2 linked regions of the Elephas maximus indicus genome follow. The protein of the gene in region 1 purifies or fractionates together with the protein of each later gene. This does not show direct contact. Links are inferred from orthologs where the notes say so. Each region holds a gene or a part of one and is shown on either strand. Other genes may lie near its edges.

Region 1 (9,787 bases):
CAAGGCACAATTGGTCTCTATTTGCCTGGAGCAACAGAGGAAGGAGAGTCAGGAATAGGAGGATATGGAATGTGTGGCTAATGAGACCTTTGCCACGAGACCAGAAGAACTGGATGATGAAGATTTTGATCAAAGATTCCATAGAAGAATCCTCATCAAAAGGGAGAAAATGCAGAAGAGAACTTCAAATTCTCATAGACTCCAGGCTTTCTGGAGCCATGGGAGCTAGATGAGCCCCTGAAACTATTGCCCTGAGATAATTTTTAAACCTTAAACCAAGAATACCCCCTAAAGTCTTCTTAAAATGAAGCAATAGTTTAGCTTAACTAGTAAAAAAATGTCTGCCTTGAGCATTATGCTCTTTTAAGAACTATCTATACAGGATTACGGGATTAGGAAACCCTGGTGGCGTAGTGGAGAGGTTGGCAGTTCAAATCTGCCAGGCACTCCTTGGAAACTCCATGGGGCAGTTCTACTCTGTCCTATAGGGTCGTTATGAGTCGGAATCGATTTAACAGCAGTGGGTTTTTTTTTTTAGACGGGATTAAAGTGACAACAGCAACTCAAAATATTAGATAGGAACCTTAGGGGGTGGTGAGTTTATGTTAATGGAGGAGGAACAACTCGGAAAAGAAGGGTGAGAACGGTTGCACAACTCAAGGAATAATCAATGTCACTGAACTGTACATGTAGAAACTGCTGAACTGGTGCACATTTTACTGTGTATATTCTCAACAACAAATTAAAAAAAAAAAAAGCTTGGGCTCTCTCACTCCTAGATATATACCCTAGAGATCTAATAGAAGAGACATGAACAGACATATGCACACCTATGCTCACTGCAGCCCTATTTACAGTAGCAAAAAGGTGGAAACAACCTAAGTGCCCATCAATGGATGAATAGCTAAGCAAAATGTGGTACATACATACAAGGGAATACTATGCAGCCACAAAGAATAATTATGAGTTCTAAAAACATTGTAACATGGATGAATCTGGGGAACATTATGCTGAGTGAAATAAGTCAATCACAGAAGGACAAATATTGTATGATCTTACTCTTATAAAAAGACAAGAATAGGTATATATCCAGACACCAACTTTCATTGGTGTTTACCAGGGATGGGTGGAGAAGGGAGGGGGAATCATTCTCTGGATACTAGACACTTGTTATTTGTTACTTTTGGTGATGGAAAAGGTAACAGTAAATACGGGTGAAGGGTGCACAACTTGACCAAGGTAAATGATGTCACTAAGAAGTACACAAGAATAAAGGATGTTTTTGGTAAATGTAATGACATACAGAATTTTGCAACAACCAAAAATTGTAAGTGTGGTTACATATATACGTACATATGCATATACATGTATAGGTAGGCATATGTGGGTATATAATACATGCATGCACAGGTGTACACAGCTATATGCATATGTATATACATGTATATGTACACGTGTATGTATTCATATATATAATAAAGTGTACAGGGAGCACAGTTACAGACACTTCTTAGACATAAGCGAATACCTCATGGGACTGGTTTACTGGGTTTGAAGGCTTAGGATCATAGTGTTGTGGGACAATTCGGTCAACTGGCATAATAAAGTTCATGTTCTACATCCTAGTTTGGTGAGTATTGTCTAGGGTCTTAAAAGCTTGCAAGCAGCCAACTACAGGTCTCTACTTATCTGGAGCAAAAGAGAAAGAAGGAAACAAAAGACTCAGAGAAGAAACTAGTCTACAGGACTAATAGTCTATATGAACCACAGCCTCATCTACCCCGATACCAGAACTAGATGGTGCCCAGCTACCACTACCAGCTGCTCTGATCAAGGACACAACAGATGGATCCTGACAGAAAGGGAGAAAAACGTAGAACAGAACTCATATTCTTAAAAAGTCCGGACTTACTGGACCAGTCGAGATGAGAGGACCCCTCAAGACTATCACCCTTAGATGCCCTTAAACTTAGAACCAAAACTACTCCCAGAGGTCACCTTTCAGCTGAACAGATTGGCTCATAAAATAAAGAATATCACCCATGAATGTTGTGCTCCTTTAAAAAATCATCTTTATGAGACCAAAGAGTCAACGTTTACTCAAAAGCAAAAATGAAAAGTTAAGGGGGCAGGGAAACTAGATTTCTGGAAACAGAACTATCAGAACAGAAATAATAAGAATGTTGACACATTGTGAAAAATATAACCAACGTCACCGAACAATGTATGCAGAAATTGTTAAATAGGAACCTAATTTGCTATGTAAAGTTTCGCCAAAAACACAATAAAATATTATAAAAAAAAAGAGCTTGGACTCAAGTCCAATAGACCAAGCCCTAATCTTAGTTTCACTACGTCTTAGCTGTGTGACCCTGGGCAAATGGCACAGTATCTGTAACCTTCCATTCTCTCACCTGGAAAATATGAAAAAACATGACTCATGGGTGAAACATCTAAAACACAGCTTGGCACATATTGCTCTGTTGGAATGGAAGGAGCATAGGCTTTGAAGTATGACAGGAATGGCTTCTGATCTTCGCTCTGAGGACCAAAGGCAAGTTATCACACCTCTTTGTGCCTCAGTCTCCTCATGTATAAAATGGGGATAATGGTATCTCACTGTGAGAAATTAAATGTAAAAATCCCAATAAATAAAGTACTTGACACATAGTAGGTACTCAATAAGTGGCAGTACTATCCTAATTTTTTTTATCCTAACATAGGTCATAACTCTTAGCTCTGTCTCCCTCATCAGAGCAGGATTAGCATATCACACAGACCAAGAGTCAGTCATTTAGGTACCAATTTCTAAACTTTGGGCTTCTCTACTGCTTCCCAGGGATAACAGGAACATCTTACAACCAGAGGTCTCTCTCTACTTAGAATCATTCAATATTGTAAACATTTTCACAACATGTGTTATAAGATGGGCACTCGGGTAACAAAGTTAACAAAGGTAAAACATTTCAAGGAATGTCTTCTTTGGAACACTTATAGACCAGTGATAAAGATATGAAAACAAAATGCCATGAATACAAGACAAAAAAAATAAACATTAATGTGTACCAAGTGTCTACTATTTGTGCCAGAGAGGAAGAGGAATCACTGACTGAGGAGAATCAAAAAATGTCTTGTGGAGATCGGCCTTGAAGAATGGGGAAGGGGGAATTAAGGATAATGGCTTTTCTGAACAGCTGGGTATACAAATCTACCAGTGCTGAGGGAACTGAATGTAAGAGGTACACCTTGGCTCTTTCCACAGGGGTCACCGCACTAAAACTCTAAGAAACTGGGGTAAAACACTTTAGCCCAGTGTTTCAGGAAGAGGGGGGAGTGGTTTTGGCCCCCAGAGGACATTTGGCAATGTCTGAAGACATTTTCAGTTGTCACACCTGGAGAGTGGGGGTGCTACTGTCATCTTGTGGGTAGAAGTCAGGGATGCTGCCAAAAATCCTTCTGTGTATAAGAACATCCCCACAATTATCCTGCCCAAAATGTCAGTAACATTGCTGTTGAAAAACCTTGCTCTAGGCAGACAGCGGAAACCCTGGTGGCGTAGTGGTTAAGAGCTACAGCTGCTAACCAAAAGGTTGGCAGTTCAAATCCACCAGGCGCACCTTGGAAACTGTGGGGCAGTTCTACTCTGTCCTATAGGGTCGTTATGAGTCGGAATCGACTCGACGGCAGTGGGTTTGGTTTTTGGGTTTTTTAGGCAGACAGCCACACCCAGGCAAGACTCCAAGGAAGGTATTCAGTATGAACTACAGTACTTCAGCAAGGGCAGCCTCTCAGGTTAGGAAATGATTCAGCTAGAACATCTCTGGGGTGGAGGCACACAGCAGAATTCCAAATGGACCACTTCTGAGGGTAGGTAGGAAGAACCATGGTGTATAATTTAGAGACGGGGAATTAAGACATGAAACAGTCGCCTTATATTACCACCCTTTCCAAAGATACACACGTTCCTCTATCACATCAACTTGTTCTATTTCCTTCACAGCACTTATTACAACCTAAAATTATCCTATTTTCTCCTTTATTATCATCTTTCCCCCCTGGAATCTAAGTCCCCTGAAAGTATATATAGAGTTCGCTTATTCTACTCTGTTTCCACAGCACCTTGAACAGCTCCCAATAAACTGTACGCATTCAATGAACATTTGATGAGTGAGTTCTGGCTTTTGACGGCGTCATAAGGTGTGTGTCAGGGGGAGGGGATCGAGACCCAAAGCACCCTGGAGACTCAAACGCTGGGTCCAAGATTCAAAAGTGCCGCCTTGGGAGAAGAGTAAAAAAAGGGGAATTGATGCGAGGCGGGAGGGGGCGCTGAGCTGAGGCAGAAGTGTACCGTTTGGGCCCCAGAGGCCACAGGAAGGATACCAGCCATCCCACGACTTCCGGAAAGGTCAAGTAAGGCGGGAGGAGCCAGATCGAGAGGGTCCGGTGGGGTCAGCGGCTGGCGGCCAACTGGGGACGCGCCACTTTTGGCGGGAGGGGTGGTGGGCGGGGCAACGTACAGTTCGGCCCGTACCACTCGGACCCGAGCGGGGACCGCACAAAGTACGGACAACTGACGCCTGGGGAAGAGGTTCGAGTAAGAGCACCCGAGTAGAGAGAGCAGGTTCGGACCGAACCCCTTCAGAAGGGGCAAAGAGCACGTTAGGGTTCGCGACTTTTCAGGTGGCATTGGCTGGGTTGTACTACTCTGTCGCCGGACAGGGGGTCCAGGCCGGGACGTGCGCGAGGCCGCGGCCAGGTTTATCTCACCAGAGCCATTAGGTCCAATGATGGCTGTGAACCTCTGAAATGGTCCGATGATCTGTCGCCCCTTATACGACTTAAAGTTCTCGATCTCAATCAGTTTCAGGAAACCCATGACGCCGAAGGCGCCGGCAGCGGTACGAGAGGCCGCGCCGTACGCCCTAGAACTCGGTAGCCCGCGCGGGAAACACCGCAGTGCAAGCCGGGTGGACGGCAAGTCTCGCGAGAATGAGTCCAACCCAACGGGATTTCCGGTGTCCGTAGCGAGCGAGACCACGGGGCGGGGCCTTCGGTTTAGCGTGGAAGTTTTGTGGATCCGTTGCCGGGGCGCGGGCTTACGACAGGCATTTGAGCCCCACCGCTCTTTACTGTTGCCTTGGCAACACAAACCGCTGCTGCAGCCGAATGTATCCTTGAGGAGGCGGTGTCGGGAGGTCTGGCGAGACTAGAGCCCACTGTTTCTGAAAATCAGAAGTCGCAGCAGGTTAGGCCCCGCAGGGCAAGAGGAAAATGGGAGCTCGGCTCTGGCTTTAGCCTGGCCAGCTAGAGGGCTCGGACAAGGGATCGGGAATTAGAAGGACACCGGGGAGCCGAGGGCTGACGGGAAGGAGGGACCGGCGGGAAGATCGTTGTTAGGTGAGCTCAGACTTTGCTGAGGGTGGGGTGGAGTTGGAGGAGGGATGGAGTGTGAAGGAAACTGTGGGGACTCCGGGCGACAGGGTTGTAGGCTGGGGAAGCCTGTGGTCTGAGATACAACCTTTGTCGCCTGCCTCCCTCCCTCCTGTTCTCCAAGCAGAATTCTGAGACTGCCACCATAGCCCAAGAACAGACTTGGACCTAAGCCACTTGTTGGCTACTTGAACCCAGACCCAACCTGGGAGCTTCAACACCGGGACTCCTTGACGAGAAAGGTATTTTGAGTACCCCCAGGAATCAGGGTCCCTAAATCAATGCTCCCCACCTGACTAGGGACCTGCAGTCTGGGTAGGAGAGGCCCTAGCCTGTCCCCTTGAGTTGCTACCTCCTATCCTTCTACATCAGCCACCAGAGATATTAATATGAATATGTTATCCACTCACTTAAAACCCTTCAATAGCTTCCCTCAGGACAAAGCCTAGAGCCCTTAGCCTGGTATTCAGGGACCTTCTTGGCCTCTACTTTGTCTGGGATCAGAGATGATGACTTTTGAGCTGGACTCTGAGGATGACAAGAAGCTTACCAGGTGGACAGAGACAGGTGGGGATGGGAGGGCAGCATTCCAGACACATGGACTATTGTATACAAAGAGTTATATGAGATATCATGAAGTAATACTTAGTTGTGTGTCTGGAACTAGGCTTTTAGATTTTCTTTTACCCTTCAGGATGGCCTTGTCTGTCCTCCCTACCAAGTATGACTCCTAGGAGAACCCCTAGAATCTGCGAGTGGCTGGATGAGTCAGAATTACTTATTGATTATGGTGGCAGATGGAGCAGGTGGGCTGGGGTTGGTGCCATTCTCAGGCTTAGACATGAAAAGAGTTGGGTGGCTGCCATAGCCATTCCTGTGACTTTAAAAAAAAAAGATGTCTGAAGGCTGGAAAGAGTCCTAAAGACTTAGGACAAGTTCAGGAAAGTGAGAAAGCCTGGTTGACAGGATTTAATAGAGGAGCCATAAATGAAGTTCAGTTTGGAAAAGCAGGAGCAGGCTGAGGGGATAAAATGACCAAAGGACAGAAATCTCATAATTCATAGAGAACTATAGTTTCATCTCTAAAAGATGAGATGGAGCTAGGGGAAAAAATTAAGTTCTTATCACACACCATACACAAAATACAGTTCTAAATAGACTAAAAACTTAGATGAGAAAAGCAGAACTTTAGAAATTTTAGAAGAAAATATAGGAGAATATCTTTATGACCACAGGGTAAGGAGGGATTTCTCCAAATATAAAAACTACTAAGGTGTTGCAGTGCTTAAGTGCTCAGCTGCTAACCAAAAGGTTGGCGGTTTGAACCCATCAGCCACTCTGCAGGACAAAGGACCTGGCAATCTGCTCCCATAAAGATTACAGCCTAGGAAACCCTATGGGGCAGTTCTACTCGGTCATATAAGGGTCAGTACTACTGAGTCGGAATCAACTTGATGGCACACAACAACAACTAAGCTTAAAGGAAAAGTGGTAATTTGACTACATTCAAAATACATCTTAAAGAAAGTAAAAAGATAAGCAAGTGCACACAGAAAGCTTCAAAAGTACTGGTAATGTTCTATTCTCTGGGTGCTATGGAGGGTTCACAGGTGTTCATTTTATTGTTGTGCTTCATAACTTGCATGTGTGTTAACCATATCTTTCTATGTATCAATTGATACCATAAAAATCATTGTAAAATAATAAAGTGAAAAGACAAGCCTCACGTTTGGAGAAGATATTTGCCGCACTTAAATTAAGAAATGATTGTTGTTGTTAGGTGCCATCAAGTTGGTTCTGACTCACAGAAACCCTATGTGCAACAGAATAAAACACTGCCCGGTCCTGCACATTGAGCCCATTGTTGCAACCACTGTGTCAATCCATCTTGTCAAGGTCTTCCTCTTTTTTGCTGACCCTCTGTGTTACCAAGCGTGATGTCGTTCTCCAGGGACTGGTCCCTCCTGATAACATGTTCAAAGTATGTGAGATGAAGTCTTGCCATCCTTGCTTCCAAGGAGCACTCTGGCTGTGCTTCTTCTAAGACAGACTTGTTCGTTCTGGAAGTCCATGGTATATTCAGTATTCTTTGCCAGCACCATAACTCAAAGGCATCAATTCTCCGGTATTTCTTATTCATTGTCCAGCTTTTCCACGCCTATGAGGTGACTGACAATATCATGGCTTGGGTCAGGTAGGTATACCTTAGTCCTCAAAGTGACATCTTTGCTTTTCAACACTTTAAAAAGTATTTTGCAGATTTGCCCAATGTAATATGTTGTTTGATTTCTTGACTGCTGTTTCCATGGGCATTGATTGTGGACCCAAGTAAGATGAAGTCCTTGATAACTTCAATATTTTCTCCACCCATCATGATGTTGCTTAAAGGTCCAGTTGTGATGATTTTTGTTTTCTTTATGTTGACGTGTAATCCATACTGAAGGCTGTAGTCTTTGATCTTCATCGGTAAGTGCTTCAAGTCCTCTTCGCTTACAGCAAGCAAGGTTGTGTCATCTGCATATCTCAGGTTGTTAATAAGTCTTCCTTCAATCCTGTTGCCCCATTCTTCATATAGTCCAGCTTCTTGGATTATTTGCTCAGCATACAGATTGAATAAGTATGGTGAAAGGATACAACCCTGACGTACACCTTTCCTGACTTTAAATCATGCAGTATCCCCTTGTTCTGATTGAACGACTGCCTCAGGTAAACATCTTTCTGGCATTCTCTGCTGTCAGCCAGGATTCATCTGATATCCCTCGTTCCACATCCTCTCCTGAATCCAACTTGGATTTCTGGCAGTTCCTTGCCGATGTACTGCTACAATTGTTTTTTTATGTTCAGCAAAATTTTACTTATATGTGATACTAATGATTGTCTTGGTCTTCTAGTGCTGCTGTAACAGAAATACCACAAGTAGATGGTTTTAACAAAGAGAAATTTATTCTCTCACAGTCTAGTAGGCTACAAGTCCAAATTCGGGACGTCAGCTCCAGGGGAAGGCTTTCTCTCTCTCTGCTCTGGAGGAACTTCCTTTTCATCAATCTTCCCTTGGTCTGGGAGCATCTTAGCACAGGAACCTCAGGTCCAGAGAACATGCTCTGCTTCTGGCACTGCTTTCTTCGTGGTATGAGGTCCCCATGTCTCACTGCTTACTTCTCTTTTTTTTAATTTTTATTGTGCTTTAAATGAAAGTTTTGCTTCTCTCTTTTATATCTCAAAAGAGATTGGCTTAAGACACTGTCTAATCTTGTAGATCTCATCAATATAACTGCCGCTAATCCATCTCATTACATCATAGTGATAGGATTTATAACACATAGGGAAATCACATCAGATGACAAAATGGTAAACAATCATGCAATACTGGGAATCATGACCTAGCCAAGTTGACAGACATTTTTAGGGGACAGAATTCAATCCATAACAATGATATTGTTTGATAATTTCCACCTTCTGTTGGATCACCTTTCTTTGGAATGGGCACAAATATGGATCTCTTCCAGTCAGTTGGCCAGGTAGCTGTCTTCTAAATTTCTTGGCATAGACAAGTGAGCACCTGCAGCACTGCATCCCTTTGTTGAAACATCTCAATTGGTATCCTGTCAATTCTTGGAGCCTTGTTTTTCACCAGTGCCTTCAGTGCAGCTTGGACTTCTTCCTTCAGTACTATCAGTTGTTGATCATATGCTGATTACTGGTTATTGGAATGCAAAAGTTGGAAACAAAGAAGAAAGATTGATAGTTGGAAAATATGGCCTTGGTAATAGAAACAATGCTGTAGATCGCACAACAGAATTTTGCAAAATCAATGGCTTATTCATTGCAAATACCTTTTTTCAACAACATGAACGGCTACTATACATGTGGACCTCACCAGATGGAAAACACAGGAATCAAATCAACTACACCTGTGGAAAGAGACATGGAAAAGCTCAATATCATCAGTCAGAACAAGGCCAGGGGCATACTGCAGAACAGACCATCAATTGCTCATAAGCAAGTTCAAGTTGAAGCTGGAGAAAATTAAAACTAGGCCGTAAGACCCAAAATACGACTTTGAGTATATCCCACCTTAATTTGGAGACCATCTCAAGAATAGATTTGACTCATTGAACACTAATGACCAAAGACCAGAGGCGTTGTGGCATGACATCAAGGACATCATATATTAAGAAGGCAAAAGGTCATTAAAAAGACAGGAAAGAAAGAAAAGGCCAAAACGGATGTCAGAAGAAACTGTGAAACTTGCTCTTGAATGTACAGCAAGCAACTAGAGCGAATGGAAGAAATAAGTAAAAGAGCTGAACAGACTTCAAAGGATGGCTCAAGAAGACAGAGTATTATAATGAAATGT
Region 2 (10,544 bases), on another chromosome or scaffold:
TGATCTCAATATACAATACAGTTCAATTCTTCACTGATTCCACTCAATACCTCCTTAACCATCCTGAACTAGTTCTGGAGAAAAGTGTATCACTCCTAAAGCTCATCTTCACTGTAAATGTTCATCTCACTTTCATTATCAATAACCATCCAAACCCTCTACAATAACAGAAATGAGACACAACAGAAAAAGATGTTTCTAGTTGGAACTGGAATCAGGGATTTATGAATGACTGTTCCCCAAATGTACCCGGAAAAACAGTCTAGAACATCTAGTCCAAATTGTTTAAATAAAATTCCAACCTCCAACTGGTTTAAGTTCTTAAATTTCCTTTACAAAATTGTCAACAGTCTCCAATAATCTTAAGTGTAGAAACAAAATCCAAGAGTTTTAATATTTCTGAATTTAAACCATTTAACTAAATGGCTTGCATGATGCTACATGGATCAAGATAAAGAAAATCCAAACTTACCTGAACTTATTAATTTAGCACAGCTACTTTTGCTTGCGTCACCTTCAAAGATATGGTTTGTGCTCTTTTCTTTTCCAACCAGAATATCTTCCAAAGGTAAGCATTTATCAGATTCAACACTGTCTTCACCCACTGGATGACTAATTTTGCTATTAGTTTCAAGTACAGACGTGACGTCTTCCAGCTGAGCAGCTTCACTAGATTCTGAATAAGAGGAACCCTTACCCTGGGCTAAATTCTTTGAAGAAACTGGTAGAGACTCATCGTCACTATCAAATCCAAAAGGATCCCCAGTATTTTCTTCTTCCAACTTAGGTTTCTTTGGGATTTCCTGGATATCTGGTTTGAAATTGGGCCTCTTCTGCCCTAATTTAGCCATAAATGTGGTCTCTCCCCATTTTGTGCTAAGGGTAGTCCGTTTGTTGGAAAAGACTTCATCGAACTTTGAACTGCCATTTCCTCCTTTCCTACTGTATGTTTTCCCAAATCTGGATGTCATTTTGACACCTGTTTCATATTCCCTGTAAAAAAAAAAAAAAAACATACATATATATAACCTCCAAGTAACTAATACCAAATATAAAAATAAGAACTTACAGATTCTCCCCATCTTACTTTCAACATTCAGGACAAGATACAAGCCTTTAAAAACGGTTTAAAAAATACTGGGAAAGGGTGTAAAGAGGCTCATTTTTACTCCATATACTTCCATACGCCAATTCAATTTTTTTTTAACGATGAGTACATACTCATACACTACTTACAAAGTAAAAAAGGCATGACCAGCCAATTTATAAGATAGCATCCACAAAACTTACTTATAGTGAAACATCTGTGTTCTAAATGAACTATTTACTATTTGTACAAACATCAAGTTTACCCTTAAAAATGTACTCTAAATAGGGTAATTACCCTAATATAAAATCTTAGGTAGAACAAAATTTTTTTTTGTTAGCATCTCAGAAACGTTAAATACTCGACTAAGTTTAGTTTTCTTGAAATTTCAGAGCACTTATTCACAGCAGAAAAGAAAGCCAGAATTTGGTGCAGTGTTCTTATGTATTACAACCTGCATCTTTTAACCCAAACTTGAAGATTCTGATTCTTGGTCTAATGTAATTCGGACAGTGACTTGAAAACTATTGCTTAGGTGGTCATGTCCCAGAGTGCAAGAAACCATCCTTATTCTATCTTCCTTGTCCCCATAGCGCTGTGCTCATTTGCCGAGTTATATATTCTGGGGCTGGTGAAATCTAGCGTACTACGTTGTTCCGTGGATTATCAAGCAAAGCAATACAAACACATTATCTTTATTTTTCCTACTACCTTTATAAGGGACAAATTGATTTATCTTTATAACAACAACAGATACTAGGAAGGAAAAAAAAATTGTCAGGACAGTAAGTCAAGAATCAAACATTTTTAAAAAGCAAATTACGTTATTTTTAAATACTTCTTATCGATTTCTTACACTTTGCCCTTGTGAAGTTTAGATACTAATATAAACCAAAACAAACCAAACCCTCTGCCGGCGAGTCGATTCCGATTCATAGCGACCCTACAGGACAGAGTAGAACTGTCCCCATAGAGTTTCCAAGGAGCGCCTGGTGGATTTGAACCACCAACCTTTTGTTGAGCAGCCACAGCACTTAACCACTACGCCATCAGGGTTTCCAAATACCAATATAACAAGGAAAAAAGTGAGCAGCTGCCTCCAGACTTGAAAATCTTCATTACTTTGAAACTTAGAACAATTTTAATGATATACGGCCTATGCTTTAAAGACATTTTATAGTGACTCATCACTGTCCAACTTAGTTATATATATTAAGTAGAACATTCCTGCCTCCCATGATTATAACTTGACACAATAACGATTAATTTGGTCATCATACACATCTGTCTTAAAATAATTGGTAATTTATCTAAAAACTTCCTAACATGTCATAAAACTTTTTCCTGAGAAGATCGATTTCTCCTTGTACTACAGATTTACGATAAAGAATCTTGTATCTTTCCTGTTACTTACATTCTAAACAAAACTAAGCACGTTGGGGAGCTACCATAGACCAGAAAAATAGTCATTTTTTCTCCTTATTCCTTCAAGAACATAAAGCCCTGATCTGCAGACCTGCATTTAGAACACAACAACAACCCTAGAATGTTTTGGATACACTTATGCAGTAATCACCTAAAAATGCAGACTGAAGGGCCAAACCAAAAATTTAGACTTGAGCTCCTTTAAGCCCACACAAGAAAAAATCATTATAAAAATGCACTTAGAACCACAAAAGATTCACTGTTGAAAATTAAAGTCTAGCAATAGACTTCATACATTGGCATTTGATACAAATGAATGGTTAATTATTTTAAAAGTGATAATGGAGCCCTGGTGGCGCAGTGGTTAAGAGCTATGGCTGCAAACCAAAGGGTTGGTAGTTCAAACGCACCAGCCACTCCTTGGAAGCACTATGCGGCAGTTCTACTCTGTCTTATAGGGTCCCTACGAGTTAGAATCGACTGGACTGCAACGGGTTTGGCTTTTGGCTAAATGATAATAATACTGAGCCTATATTTTTCGAAAGAGTCCACGTCTTTTAACAAGTAAATACTAAAATACTTCTTGATGAAGTCTCAGCGTTTTTTTTCCTTAACGCTACGGTGTGCAGAATGGAACCTGTGTAGGTGAAACAAATTTGATTAAAAGTTAACGTGTTGAAACCGAGCGACGGGTACAAAAGAGTTCATTATATAAAACCCCTATTTTTTATTTCCTTTATAATTTTCCATTAAAAAAAAGTTTTCTTAAAAGTCAGTAAACAGACTATTGCAGTGGCTGTCTCTAAGCATAAAGTGTAAAACATGTATAAATTAAAACACCAGCACGCAGACGTACTGGACGTGTTTTAAGTGGGGCCTCAAGTACACAGACTATCTTGTTCAGGCTTCAAACTCCAAAGACTACCCTAACTAAAAAGGAAAGAATGATGCACAGTTAAGTTTTTTCGGTCATTGGGCCTTTGCCTCAGCCCAAAGGCAGGTCAAATTTTCAGGGAAACGAGCTGAGACAGAGTCCTCACACTTAGCCACCGACCATATCTAGCGTCTGTCCGGCTTAGGAGCTTCCATAAAAAAAAAGGAAAGTCGAAAGGGGCAAACCTAACCACTCAGAAATCCTCACCTGGAGGCGAACGGTGCGGAGGACGGTAATGGGAGAGGGGGCCCCTGCGGCTGGAAACTCAAGCAACTTTTCGACCCTTCCTACCCTGACCGCCCAGGAAAGGGATGTAGTTTCCAACGCCCCGGAAGCCTCTGCCACCAAATCCCTAGGACAGTGTAAAGGCCTCAGTGGCCGTCTCCTCAGTGGAGAAAAAGACGGGAAAGGTCTTAGAGCTGAAACCTACACACTCGACCAGGTATACCGAGGGAAGTAAATCAGCAGCTGCCGGGAAAAAAATGAGAAAAAAAGGAAAAAAAGAGTTGTGCAGTTTGTTCCCCTGCCCAACTTCCTCAGAGACACGGCGGGTGAGGTAGCGAGACTCTCGCCGCCCCGGCGTCCCCCACCCTCCCAGGCTCGCTCCCGGCCTAGGCAGCCGCCCGAAACCTCACTTACCCTCGGCGCCTGGCGGGTGCTTTGGCCTCGGGTCGCCTCCGCCTCTCCCGCTCCCAACGGCCCACGGGCGGGCGCGGGAGCCCCGCGCGTGAGCGCAGGGCCGGCCGGTGAGCGAAGAGAGGAAGGGGGTGAGGAAGGGGGATCTGCCACCGTCAAAACCTGCCGCTCCGCTCTCGGTAAATAGGAAACCGGGCGGGGGGGCAGCGGAGACCCCGCAACTTCCCTCCCCGCCTTGACCGCCGCCGGCCGGGCCCGGGCCTAGGCCTCCCTGGCCTCGCCGCCGCCGGAGCCGGTACCGGAGCCCGCTACGTGCCCCTGCTGGGCCGCCACCGCCTCCTGCGCCGCCGCTTCCGCCGGTGAATGGTCAGCGCTGGAGTTTGAACAGGGCCCTGAACCATCTCAACGCCATTTGCGCTCCCGGCCCCCACCTCCTTCCTCCAACAGCCGCTCGCTCCGTCACTCCGCTTCCCACAGGCCCCGCGCGGCCGCCCGACCCCGCAGCCAATCGAGCGGCCGCTTACTCAAACTGCCGCGCAGGCGCCGCGACACGCATGCTCCGGGGCCCGCCATTGGCTCGGGCGCGGGGCCCGACGGGAGTTGTAGTCCCGGTCCGCGAATCGCAGTGTCGAGAGCCCGGCGCGGGAGTGGGCGGTGGGTGGAGCGGTCGCCGCGGGCCTGGCCCGTCCCGGCTCGGGAGCCGGTTCCAGCTCCCGGGCCCGCCGGGAGACGCAGGTGCCCCGGGGGAGGGCCGGGGGCGCGGTGCAGGCAGCTGTGTCAATCGTTTCCCCTCCTGGGACCCGCCGGTGTCTGGGGACAGTGGATTGTGCAGCTGCGCCGGGCTTGCTGGGGCCACCGCCCGGGAGAGGGGAGGCAGGGAGCTCGCGGCTCCAGCAGCCTTCGGCCCGGCCTGGCCTGTGCGGGCCCGGCGCAGGTAATGACGGCGCTGCGGGAGGCCCGGGCGCTGGGCGCTCGACTGCCACGGTCATCTCAGCCCCGGCGCCTTCATGCGCCACCGTCCGGCTCCGCAGACCTGACTCTCGTAGTTTCCTGGCCGTCCCACTCCCTCGGGTTAAAATGACCCCGGGGTTACTGGGTGGTATTAAGGAGCCATGGGCAATCTTGTTGGACGTGATAATGGTAATGTGGTCCCCCCCCCCATTTTTAAATTCACGTACTGAATTTTTGACAGGTAAAATGATCTGGTGCCTTAGATTTACTTTAAAATACTCCAGCAAAAAGCCGGGGGAGGGGGAATAATACAGGACGGCGGGATGTTTTCCATTGTGGAGGCTGCGTGATGCGTCACACGCGGGCTCCTTATACCAGTCTGTGTATCTGCAATTTTTTGTAGTAAAAAGTTTAAAGAACTGAACCAGTGATTGTCTCTGGGGAAGTAGGGGAATGAGGGGGTGAAGGAAGACTTATTTTTCGCTGCACATCCTTTTGTGCTGTTTAAGGTTTTTTTTCCTTGTCAGCATTACCTATTAAGAAAATTGGAAAGTTGTTTTTAAAAGGCCGCAGTGGGAAAACACCGTTCCAAAGAGTAGCACAATGGGCTCGTCCTAATAGAGATGCATGATTCATCAGGCTCTGACGACCCTGCTGTTCGGAAGGCTGTTGATAGACACACCTGGGAAATGGGGAAAGTACTACCGTAATTGCTTCCAGTGAAACGCCTGTCTTTCTTCCACAAATGAATAATTTGCTTTGAATGCACCTGTAAGTTACCAAGCTCTCTCCGATATATTGGGCAAACCCTGAAAAAGTAGTTCAGAGACCTTGCTGCTCTTCCCAATAGGAATGTAAGGTGGATTTTAGCATGGTTGGATTGTTTTATTTGGACGTGACTGCTTGCAAATTTTATATTTTGACATTTACAGTTTTCCAACCGCTATATAAGTATTTTCTCGTTGTGAAAGAAATCAACTCTTCTGTCTTTTACGTTAATGGAAGTTACCAGTCGTCTGTGTATTCCACTGAGGGTTGTACCAACATGATTTTCAGTTGGATCAGTTTTGTGTTTTTTGAAAAACCAGGGTAGGATCTTGTTTTATCAGTTTGAGAATTGCAGGCAGCGGCGCAGGTTTTACTTCCTATAATTATTTAGATGACACAGTAAAAACACAGTAGAGGGTGCTAATTAGGGAGTAATTATCAGCAGAGGCAAAAGCTATGATCAAAAAGCCCAAAGTGGCCAGAGAGACAATTGCAAGGTTTTCCTGTAGGAGAATGCTGTGAACCCTGAGACCAAAGGATGTATTCGTTATGCCCTGGCCTCCGCGGGGCTGGGCAGTTGAGTAGGTTAGTGACTGAAGTATGCTGAAGTGAAAGAATTTAGTTAAAGAAATTGTCCTTGGAGCTCTTGTTATCCCACAAAACAGGTAAGGTCTCCACCAGAACTGTTTGTGTGGTGGTTGTGTTAATAATGGAACTTCCAAACCCATTGCCGTGGAGTCAATTCCAACTCATAGCGACCCGGTAGGACAGGGTAGAACTGCCTCATAGGGTTTCCAAGGAGCATCTGGTGGATTTGAACTGCTGACCTTTTGGTTAACAGGCGAACTCTTAACCACTGTACCACCAGGGTTTCCAATAATGGAACTTTGTATTGTTAAATTCCCGCTACTCATGCCCTGACAGGGGACACAACAGATAACCCCTGAGGGAGCAGGAAAGCAGTTGGATGCAGACCTCAAATTCTGGTAAAAGGGCCTGACTTAATGGTCTGACTGAGACTAGAAGGACCCCGGAGGTCATGGTCCCCAGACCTTCTGTTAGCCCAAGACAGGAACAATTCCCAAAGCCAACTCTTCAGACAGGGATTGGAGTGGACTCTAGGATAGAAAATGATACTGATGAGGACTGAGCTTCTTGGGTCAAGTAGACACAGGAGACTATATGGGCAGCTCCTGTCTGGAGGGGAGGTGAGAGGGCAGAGGGTGTCAGAAGCTGGCTGAATGGACACAGAAAGAAGGTGGAAAGAAGGACTGTGCTGTCTCATTGGGGGAGAGTAACTAGAAGTATATAGCAACGTGTATATAAATTTTTGTATGAGAGACTGACTTGTAAACTTTCACTTAAAGCACAATAAAAAAAAAATTTTTAATGCTAATAAAAGACAAAAATTCCAGCTTTTCAAAGAGTGGTCCTTGGTCAGCAGCAGAAGCATAGGATAGAAGCTTGTTGGAAAGGCATATTTCCCATCCCAGCCCCGACTCCATTGGATCAGAATCTTCACTTTAACAAGTTTCCCCCCAGCGACTGGTCCACACGTTGAATTTTGGCAGGCACTGACTTAAAGCATACCTATAACATTTGACCCCAATCTAACATTTTTCTTAGGAGGGGAAGGGTAAATGTCAAGAACCTAGTCTTTGTGAGGAACAATCCTAGGCTCTTCAGGGACTTAGCTGGTATCCCAGCCTTTTGTCTTTGTCTTAACAGGTGAGGAATGGAAGGTTTGGCATTTGCTGAAGACACTGCAACTATAGGAGGAATCAAACATATTTAAGCATTGGGTACTCATTACTTATAGATAATCTTGAATCTGGTAGAAAGTAGTACAGGATTTAGAAAGTAAAAAACTATGTCTGTAGGTGTATGTGTTTAATCTATGGAAGCTTGTTATCAGGTCCCATGGAGTCGGTTTTGACTCACAGTGACCCTGTGTGTAACAGAACGAAATGTCGACAAGTCCTGCGCTATCCTCACAGTCTTTGCTGTGTTTTGAGCCTGTTGTTGCAATCACTGTGTTAATCCATCTCATTAAGGGACTTCCTCTTTTTTCACTGACCCCCTATTTAGTATATGAATATTGAACAGAGCTGTGCTATTGCTCTCTACTCTCAGGTGCCCCACACTAAAGACAGGTGGAGAGCCTGCTCACTCTAGGGCCCCTCCTTGAAGGAAATTCAGGGTCCCTGGGCCTTCAGCCTGTACCGCCACCTTGAAATCTGGAGTTCAGTTTCCTTTGAGTGGTTAGAGGTATCTACCCTTTATCTCCCTGGTTCCACTGAGGCAGACAAATGCCCTCGGAGGCCGCATTCCATTCCTTTGCCATGGCCCCGAGTTCTACGCCAGGGTGAGCTGTTTTTTGTTTTCTTGGTTCGTTTAGTTCATAACTGCTAGCCAAAAGGTCAGGAGTTCAAATCTACCAGCCACTCCTTGGAAACTAGGGGGCAGTTCTACTCTGTCCTGTAGGATTGCTGTAAGTCAAAATGCACTTGACAGCAATAGGTTTTAGTTCATAACCAGCACCCCCCTCACTCACACCCTGTAGCCCTAGAATGGTTCTCAGTCTGCTACACACATACACCAGGTAGACAATAGGTACTTTGTTAAAATAGAATGCCTCTATGCAAGCCCTGGAGTCCCTGGGTAGTACAAGCTGTTAACGCACTCAACTGCTAACCAGGAGGTTGGTGGTTTGAATCTACCCTGAGGCATCTTGGAAGAAAAGCCTGGTGATCTGCTGCTGAAAAATCAGTCATTTAAAAACCCTATGGAGCATAGCCCTTCTCTGATACACGTGGTGTCGCCATAAGTTGGAGTCGACAGCAGCTGTTTTTCTTTGTTGTTTTATGCAAGTTCTCTGATTTTTCTTTATTATGAAATGTCATATGTATGCCCAAAACTGAAAATATTGACGTGAGCCGTGTTGTTTGTACCCTTCGGTGGCACAGGACATCCTCCTGTGCTACCTGGAGGAGGGCAGAACCCCATTACCTTGGGCTGCACAGGGGTGGGCTAGTACTTCCTTTGGCTGAGTGTTTAAGAAAATCCTGCAAAGAAAACTGTTCTGCTATTGCTGCACCCCTTTTAGCAAGGCATGGGCATGAACTGTCAGACCTGGAGTTTCTAATAAGGCCTTTTCTGATAATATGTGGTAAAATGTATTACAACTTAAGAGAATTCGGTTCAGGGAACCTGGTGTCAGAGACTACTACATTGCCTACAGTGAATTTTCCCTTGTGATAGAATGTGGAATACAGTTATGAACTGTACAGTTATTCATTGTACTGGTTGTGTGGCAAGGCCCTGCATGATCTCCTTGCTGTTTCACAAAATTGCCGGGCATATGTTCCCACCTCAGGCCCTTTGCACTTGTCAGGACCTCTTCTACAACAAGTTTCCCTCAGCTCCCTCACTCCTTTAGGTCTTTACCCAAATGGAGCTTCTCAGTGACTCTCCCCCTGACCAGCTTGTTGTAAATTGCAACACTGTCAATCCCAAGTGTTCTCTGTTTGTGCTTTATTTTTCTCGGGGCCACTTATCTCCCCCATCAAACCTATCACATATTTGTTATATTTATCTTCTGTATTTCTCTTCCCCGTGAGGAAGTGCTCTTTGTCTTATTTACTGTTGCACCCCTAACACCTAGAACAGCACCTGGCACAAAGTGAACCTCAGTAAATATTTGTTGAATAAATACCCCCACTTACGTCCTTCTCTTGCGTAAGATTATGTCTTAGAAAGAAAGTGACCTTAAAATCACTAGCAATAGCTTCCAGTAGCTTAGTGGCTCCATGAATGGTTGCTGACTGGGTTTTCCCAATAGGAAGGGGACGCTTTCAGGAGTTACCTTTTGTTCTGGCCTTGGATAGGTTTTCATTCTGAGAACTGAGAATGTGAATACTACTATAATCCCAATTACCTTGTTTTCAAGGATAATTGGAATATGTTCTCCAGAGATGGTAACATCCTTTGGGGAATAAACTGCTGAGTAGTTGAAAGACAAAGCAAGGGAAACTTTCCCTGGGGACGTGTTGCTTGACAAGGATTGGTACCCAGCAACTCTTAGAATTCTCGTGACCTGACCCCTGCCTCTGGAGACAGCCCTCTTCTCCGTGGGGTCCTCACCCCTACTGTTCTGTGATACCTCTCCTGATCAGAAACCCTCCAGGGTCTTCCCATCACCAAGACTAAAATCTAAAATCATTACCATGGCCTACAAGGCCCTGTGTTACCTGGCCCCTGCCTACTCCTATCCTTTCCCTTCTTGCCAAGCTTGCCTCTGTCTTCTACTAGAACATGCCAAGCCAGCTGCTGCTTCAGGGCCTTTGAACTTGCTGTTCCCTTGCTATCCTCAAGATAGGCACATGGCTCACTCCCTCGCCTCCTCAGGTCTTTGCTCAAGTGTCTTCTCAGTAGTGCCTTCCCTGACCATGCTGCTTAAGTTAAAACCCTCAGCGTGCCATGCCAGCACTCTGTATCCCCTCTCTCTGCTGTTTTTCTCCATAGTAGCCATCATGTTTGTTTTACGTATTATCAGTCCACTAGAATATAAACTCCATGAGGACAGGGGTTGACTTTTGTTCACTACTATATGCGCAGCAAGGTGCCCTGGTGGTGCAAACAGTTAAGCGCTCAGCTGATACCGGGAACGTTAGCAGTTTGAACCTACCTAGCAGCTCTGCAGAGGAAAGACCTGATGTAGTCTACCATAGTGAATTATCTAAA

The links.
Region 2: the proteins of SMC1A (region 1) and WAPL purify together in Homo sapiens (affinity purification with mass spectrometry; 7 studies listed by BioGRID and IntAct, with this or other methods). This does not show direct contact. The link is inferred for Elephas maximus indicus from reciprocal best matches to the Homo sapiens genes SMC1A and WAPL.

The regions. Positions count from the first base shown.
Region 1 is NC_064846.1:115,209,186-115,218,972, reverse strand, and holds the start of SMC1A (structural maintenance of chromosomes protein 1A), read right to left. Parts: upstream 4,974-9,787; 5' UTR 4,877-4,973; coding exon 4,768-4,876; intron 1-4,767. UniProt on the Homo sapiens protein: Involved in chromosome cohesion during cell cycle and in DNA repair. Central component of cohesin complex. The cohesin complex is required for the cohesion of sister chromatids after DNA replication.
Region 2 is NC_064826.1:122,857,246-122,867,789, reverse strand, and holds the start of WAPL (wings apart-like protein homolog), read right to left. Parts: upstream 4,566-10,544; 5' UTR 4,086-4,565; intron 994-4,085; 5' UTR 972-993; coding exon 473-971; intron 1-472. UniProt on the Homo sapiens protein: Regulator of sister chromatid cohesion in mitosis which negatively regulates cohesin association with chromatin. Involved in both sister chromatid cohesion during interphase and sister-chromatid resolution during early stages of mitosis.